Linked DNA regions of Nothobranchius furzeri. The protein of the gene in region 1 interacts with the protein of each later gene in a biochemical or structural test. Links are inferred from orthologs where the notes say so. Each region holds a gene or a part of one and is shown in the gene's direction. Other genes may lie near its edges.

Region 1 (3,752 bases):
CAACAGAACACAAAACACATTTCTCTTCATGGCCTACATAATTGTCATCATCAACGTAACATGATTTACAGAATACATGTGACCAACTAACATTTCATGTTCTACCACCGGATGTTTGGATCAAAATGTGAACCAATCAGATCTTAGATCAGGTGAGAGCCAGGCGTTTCCCATCATGCCCTAGGTTTAGCAGCCGGTGGAGAGCAACTGCAGCGCCTTGATCTCACGAGGTTATCGTTGCGTACGTATGCATGACGTCAGAGCAAGTCGGCGTCAAGTCGGACAAATCTAACCGGCATGCACTGCGCGCCAATCACCGGTGATCTAATCTGCGCAGAACTGGCTCTTCTCGAACACGGCCGATGTTTATAAATAGCGCATCTGTGTTGTCATGACCAGGTCCGCTCAGCTTCACTTTGCGCGATCACCCATTGGCTGAGCGCACTGCCAATCACGACATGACGACTACGTCATAGCGGTACGACAGGTGATTGGTTGGCTTCTCTGAATAATCTCACCGCCGAGTAGCTACGACTGTGTGCACCATGTTTGATGAGCTGCTCGGCTCCTCAGCTCTGTGATTAGTTTCGTGTCATTTGGACGAAGCGTGGAGGTCCGAGCTGCTGCTTTCTTCGCCCTCGGCTGGTGGCTGTGAGACGGACCGAACCCGGGACGTGGGGACGCGGCTGTCCGTTAGCTAGCTCCGAGCTGTCAGGTTGAATAGCCATCAGTGGTTTCAAGGTAATTAGTCCCGCAGGAAAAGAGCCCGGACTCTCCCTAGCGGTGTTATTGGGTCTTCTCTGGATGTGTAGGCATGAGAGCCACCGGAGGACACCGCGGAGCACCCTGAACACCAGGCTGTCGCCGGGAGTCAAGTTTACTGCCTGTTAGCTGCGCGTGAGAGTCCCTGCTGTTTAATCCTGGCTAATGGTGGCAGTTCCGTGACCCAGCAGGAGGATCGTGATGGGGGTTCTGTCAGGGCGCGCAGCTCTGAGAGACTGAAGTGAATGGCGCTGGCCTGGGCCTGCCTCTGCCGTGATACACCCCCTCTGCACCGGATCTGCAGCGTTAATCACGGCCTGGAAATCACCGCTGTTTACCTAATTGCTGCTTTGCCCGGGCACACATCGGAAGAGGAGTCCGTCTGGGACGGTAGATGCGGTTTCCAAGCCGACCGAAGCCCCCTATGCGGGAAGGATTTAAGGAAAACTTGGCTCCTCTCAGAGATGAGTGCCGTGCTTCCCATGTGACAGGATCTAGATCGCACTTCGCTACCAAGACGGGGAAGCCGCCTCTGCCATGAGGGACGTCGAGGGCCACCGAATTTATCTGCTGAGGGGGTTCTGGGCTCGGTTCTGTTGACTGTTTTAATCATGGCGCTCAGATTCTAGACTCTGGTCGTTGTGCATGTCAGCGACATGTGAGGATCTCACTACTTGATGGTGCACCAGAAGAACGGAAGTTGTTTAACACCATCGGGTCGGATCCTCGCTGGCATTATGATAGAGAGACTCTTTCAGATGTTTTTGTCCCCATGAAGGATCAACGTGGTTGGATAATTTAAGCACCAGATCTCCTCTTTATGATTTTGTTTAGTTTAATTAGTGCTGTAGCCATCATCATCATCATCATCATCATCATCATCCGGTCAAACAGGCGTTGGTGAATGGCTCTGTGCGGAACAACTGCTACCAATGTTCCCAAAATGATGGCTGCTTACAACGGTGGCTCCTCAGCGGTGGCTGCCCATCACCACCACCAGCTCCAGCACCTTCCACCTCCCCACATGCACCACCACCACCACCATGCGGGCCAGCACCAACTGCAGCACCCGGGCTCCGCTGCCGCCGTTCACACGGTGCAGCAGCACACGTCCACAGCTGCCGCCGCAGCAGTGATGCTGAATCCCGGCCAGCAGCAGCCTTACTTCCCCTCCCCTGCCCCTGGACAAGCTCCGGGACCCGCGTTGGCCACGGCTCCCGCACAGGTTCAGGCTGCAGCAGCTGGAGCTGTCAAAGCTCACCACCACCATCAGCAGCAGAACGCTCACCATGTGCAGCAGCTGGATGTGGAGCCCGACAGGCCCATTGGCTACGGCGCGTTTGGGGTGGTCTGGTGAGTTCTGGTGACCTTTTATCTACATGAGGAGAACGGATCCAAACCACGGGAACCATTTAAAGGAATAGTTCTGAGCTTCTCAATTGGCTCAGCTTGGAGAAATTAGTTCTGGCAGGACAGCTGAGTTGGGTCAGTTCTACTATCTGACAAGGATTCTAAAAATAGTTGGTAATGCAAAAGTTGTTTTAAACCCTTATGACAGAGATGCATGAAGGAATCAGCTGGGATCGATCCGCCAATCCAGAACTTAAAAATCATGTTCTCATTTTTTATACTTGAATGCACATTTGCCAAGCAGGGAGTTAGAAAATCTTTCTTGGTCCTTGAACTCACCATGGCTGAGCTTTCATTTATAGCCATAACTCACTTTAATCATAAAGTGAAACAATAAAATAGGATAAGGTGAAGCTGGAAAAATAGAAGCCTGCTTCAGAAAATCGGATTTCTCTTTAAAGCAGTTCCTCTTCATGCTTTCACGTGTTGTGGCTTTGACTTGGATGTGATTGCTCAGGTTGGCTTATGCAGACTGGCTGATGGACGGCATTGTGCCTTCATGTGCTGTTTTGGCCTCCGTATTTAAATTAATCTTTAAAGGTGTGGTTCACTCGTTTAATCACTACATTTGCAGTGGTCTCTAGTAATAAATGCCTTGTAAGTTGTACTCTGGGTACGATAAGTCCTGGGGCCTCTTTTATGGTAAATGGTAAATGGTAAATGGCCTGTATTTGATATAGCGCCTTCTAGAGTCCTGGAACCCCCCAAGGCGCTTTACAACACAACCAGTCATTCACCCATTCACACACACATTCACACACTGGTGGGGATGAGCTACAATGTAGCCACAGCTGCCCTGGGGCGCACTGACAGAGGCGAGGCTGCCGAGCACTGGCGCCACCGGTCCCTCCGACCACCACCAGCAGGCAATGTGGGTTAAGTGTCTTGCCCAAGGACACAACGACAGCGGCAGACCGAGCGGGTCTCGAACCTGCGACCTTCCGATTGCACAGTATTTATGCACAGACCTGTGTGTATTTCATGCGTAGGACCTATAATTTGCTCATTGTGTGGAACAAATGTTTTACTTGTACATGGAAATGTTCCTAAGGCCCAATCCCAATACTTGCACTGCACCCTAATAAGGTCTTATGTGAAGTGCGCTTGGAGGAAGTGCGCAGTAAGGCTTCGAGTGCGTAGTACAAATGCCAAATTGGAACAAAGAGCGTTGCGTCATTGACCGCAGTGCGTGCCGGGAAGCTGGTTGCTCTGCCACTTTAGAAGTTGTTAAAAGTTTTTTTTAAACAAACACTTATTTGACATAACTTAAAATTCATTACTGCTTTGTCTAAAACTTTCAGAGCACCAATTAACCATCCTAAAAAGAACAACTTTCATTTGAAAATATACATTTTCAGGAAAGGCACTTGAGCCTTTTCTCCTACAGCAAGATTGTGCGTAATACCCTTCGCCCAAGTCCACATCGATGTAGACTTGAGTGAAGTGCGGATCAAGAATGCGAAAAGGGTGTTATCAACTTCCTCACTTGAGTCGGGACACCCTACGCACCCTGGCTGGGATCGCACAATTGAAAGGCATTAAGTGTGGAAGTGGGAGTATTGGGATTAGGCTTAAATAAG
Region 2 (3,752 bases), on another chromosome or scaffold:
GGGCGCGTGGCGAGAAGCACGCGCTTTCCGCTGCATTCTGGAATGCTGCCAGTCCCGGCACTTTAGAATCCACACAGCTTCTAAAACCCAAAAGTCTTTGATCTTTTTTTTTTCCTCGCCGACTTCTTACCCGGAAGAGAACCCCCTTCTCTCACCCCTCTCAGTTTCTCCCCCCTCTCAGCTGGGATGAACGCACACGTGGAAATGTTGGCTCGACTCCACGCTCGGACCAAATTTAGTCATACAAAGGCAAAGGGGGGGAGAGAAAGGGGGGAGGAAGCGGGAGGAAGGGGGGGATGAAAGAGCCAGCCGCCGCTAGATCAAAGGCAGCCGCGGCTCCGCCCCGCTAACCCCACCTACGCGCTTTATAAAGATCTGCCTCCACATCCCGACTCCCGATTCTCACGCAATCTCAGACACAGAAAACACGCAACTTTCACCGCTTTCTACTTACTTATTTTAATCTGCGTGTTTTTTAATCTCTAACTTTTTTAGAAACATATTTAGCGACTATACATAATCATCTTTAAAACAAGTTTTCCCGCATTAAGAAATACATTTGGGATTTTTAAACGACATTCTAAAAAAAGAACAGAAAACTATTTTTGGTAGATCATTTATTATAGCATTGTGTTTGTTTTTAGCCTTTTTATTGCGGGAGCAACATGTATTAATGAACTATTTGGGTTAAAAGGGGCAATCAGCTTCAAGATTGAAGCAATGATAATAAAAAGCAAAATTATACAAAAAGTCTTGCTGGGGTTATTAATTCTGCTGGATTTATGCTTTTATTGACAAATTAGGCTCTAGATCATTCATCAAAGCGCTCCAAGTGGGGAGTCTCCCCCTAAAAATCCAACTTTTGTCCAATCTAACATTTACAACAGTTTGCCAAACAAGCCCAGACGCGTCTGTTTTCCCTCTATTTCCATTTTTATTCCTCCTAATTGTTTAAGCCATCACGCACGCAGCGCGTCAGCCTCCTCTCCTCTCCTGTCTGGCCATTTGTCGGGAGCTCTCTCAGGAGGAGTGTCAATCAGAGCCTCGGCTTCCCTTTCATCTCTCCTTCCTCCCAGTGACTGAGGAGGGAGAAGAGGAGGAGGAGGAGGAGGAGGGAGCAGCTACATTACCAACACACACGCACTGGTTACATTACACTGTGGAAACGCTGCGGGTGCAGAGGGAAGTCAGTCCACGGCGGTTTTCCCTTCTCAGGCTTCTGCTTTTTGATTGTTTCCCTTCTTTTTGCTTTCATCTCTCCTCATTTGAGCAGCTGGGTGAGGATGTACTCGAAGCGCCGCCGCGGTGTGTCGCCTCGCTTGTCGCTGAAGTGTTAAAAGTCCGTTTCCTCTCCTCCACTTTCACCTCCAGACGCTTTTTTGGTTTCTTTAAGGCGACTCACTAGTGTTTTTAACTCCGCAGGACCTGAGCAGCCGCTTCGCCGGACCTCAAAGGAAATAATTTGTTCAAACTTTTTATTCGAGGCTCTTTTCACGGAACGTTTTTTAAATGAGTTTGTTTTTGATTATTTCACCCACGTGACTCGTTGTGGTCCTGTTCATCTTTCCGTGTAGTTGAACAGTGAAGACTCCTCTCTCCTCCTGTTGCTTCAGCCTAAGCGCGCGCGCGCACACACACACACCAGCAGCGTGTCCGCAGCCTCCGAGCCGCGCGCTCTCTCTTCTCGGTGGGAGTTGACCTTCCGCCGCCTGCACCGGTGGTGAATCCTAACGAGCCCACACCTCCAGCGGGCATCATGCCTCAGCTATCGGGCGGCGGAGACCCGGAGCTCTGCGCCACGGACGAAATGATCCCGTTCAAAGACGAAGGAGACCCGCACAAGGAGCAGATCTTCGCCGAACTGAGCCACTCGGAGGAGGAGGGAGACCTGGCAGACATCAAGTCCTCTCTGGTCCACGAGTCTGAGAGCAGCCCCAACAGCAACAGCCACGACGTGAGTCCTGCTCGCACGCACGCACGCACGCACGCTGATTGATGCGGGAGGATGCTAAAACTCTCATCAGAGGGCAGAAACTGCGTTTGGAAACGTTTAAAGACGTTTATCTAACTTGAATAATCAGCTAAGTAGCGTTTTGACATGATTTTACTCACATAAAAACCCGAACAAAGCCACTAATTAACCAGTAATTTCTAATTTAGAAAACATGCTTGGCTCTGCTTAATTTCTTTAATCTAACATTGAAAACCACCTAATTCGCCACCACCTGCTGCTCTAAAGAGGCATGGCTCTGCAGCCTACAGGCCGATGTAAGCCGAGGCCTAAAGTAAAAATATCCAGCTGTAAAATCTGCACACATATTGATGTGAAATGAGACATCTGAAGATATGTTTAGGTGTGATCGGGCCTGGTGAGCAGCCTGTGACAGGCAGGCTGCTGTGTGGTCATGGTCCACCCTCAGCTGCCCCAGAACATCAATCCAGACAGCACACCTGGTTTAAATTGTTATTGATTTAACCTGAACGATGATTTTGTTTTTATATTCCTGCTGATTCTGCCTGCTGTTTTTTCCCATCATTCAGATGGTGTCTTTAAATTACAATTCCATGTTTGATTTTATTTATTTTCTTGATCTAAGTAAAAAACAAATAATAATAATTTAAATTTATTTTTTTAAATTACTGATTTACCTCGGTATTTAATCTTCATTGATGTTTAATGATTTTAACATTGGGGGAACATTGAATTGAATGTGTGTTTTGATTCGTTTGGATGCTTTGACCTAAGCAGGAACTCAGGCTTTTACTCTGAAAGTTCTGCCAGCGATCACCAAATCCCCAGAAATGTGAGAGGAAGTGTTGATTAGGATTCCGGTGACGTTCCTTTGCTCAGCTTGAAGTCATCCTGAGGAGGTCCAAAATAAAAATCTGAAAATAACTAAATCCGATTTAGTTGTTTTAGATCTGAGAAGATGAAGGAAGTCCAACATGTTCTGTCTTTATGGTTTTCACTTTTATTCTCCATCATGTGTTTTTAATTCATAACATTAATATACTGCATTTATATGAATAAAAAGATGCTTGAACTCGGATGAAGATGAGTTACCTAAAGGTATTGATGAAAACAAGTTAATTTGTGAGCTCCTTAAGGACATGAAGCTTAATTAAGTAATTCTTCTGGAGCTTTGATGAAGGCGGCTGTCTCCCCTCTGCAGCTAATTGTGAGTGTGTGTGTGTGTGTGTGTGTGTGTGTGTGTGTGTGTGTGTGTGTTTTGGACATGTCTGAGTGTGTAACTGCATTTCGAGGCCTTAATGGTTGATTCACCAACGTTTTCTCCTTTGCAGGCAGCTAGACAGTCCCAAATATCACAAGATTCCTACCACGACAAACACAGAGACCATCCAGAAGATGGTAAGTGACACAGCCCTGAGCTACGGAGTTTCATCAGCATGCCGTTTAGCTCAAAACCCTCCAGATTCTTCGAATGGTCCCCAGCAGGATTAGAAACGAGGCTAAGGGGGAACGAACAGAAGTGATTATGCTGTAATTTTTTTTTCTCGTGTTCTGATTTTTCTGATCCAAGTCTAGTCAGGACATGCTTCCTTCATAAACACAGCTCCCTCTTACCTACTGCAGAGATGAGGGTGCCTGCACAGAGGGAGGGGAAAAAAAGAAGATACTCCAAATAAAATCAGGAAAATCCGCCCCTATCTGATTTGTTTTGTGTTTTCAAATGCCTACAGACCGTAAAATCCCATGTGAAGTCTGGTTATTTCTAATGGCCCAGTGAAAC

The links. The genes of interacting proteins can lie anywhere in the genome.
Region 2: of the proteins of nlk2 (region 1) and lef1, one has a biochemical effect on the other in vitro, tested with the Homo sapiens proteins (4 studies listed by BioGRID). The link is inferred for Nothobranchius furzeri from reciprocal best matches to the Homo sapiens genes NLK and LEF1.

Annotation. Positions count from the first base shown.
Region 1 is NC_091753.1:61,331,446-61,335,197, reverse strand, and holds the start of nlk2 (serine/threonine-protein kinase NLK), read left to right. Parts: upstream 1-1,436; 5' UTR 1,437-1,666; coding exon 1,667-2,115; intron 2,116-3,752. UniProt on the Homo sapiens protein: Serine/threonine-protein kinase that regulates a number of transcription factors with key roles in cell fate determination. Positive effector of the non-canonical Wnt signaling pathway, acting downstream of WNT5A, MAP3K7/TAK1 and HIPK2.
Region 2 is NC_091746.1:81,763,147-81,766,898, reverse strand, and holds the start of lef1 (lymphoid enhancer-binding factor 1), read left to right. Parts: upstream 1-1,586; 5' UTR 1,587-1,756; coding exon 1,757-1,954; intron 1,955-3,303; coding exon 3,304-3,370; intron 3,371-3,752. UniProt on the Homo sapiens protein: Transcription factor that binds DNA in a sequence-specific manner. Participates in the Wnt signaling pathway. Activates transcription of target genes in the presence of CTNNB1 and EP300.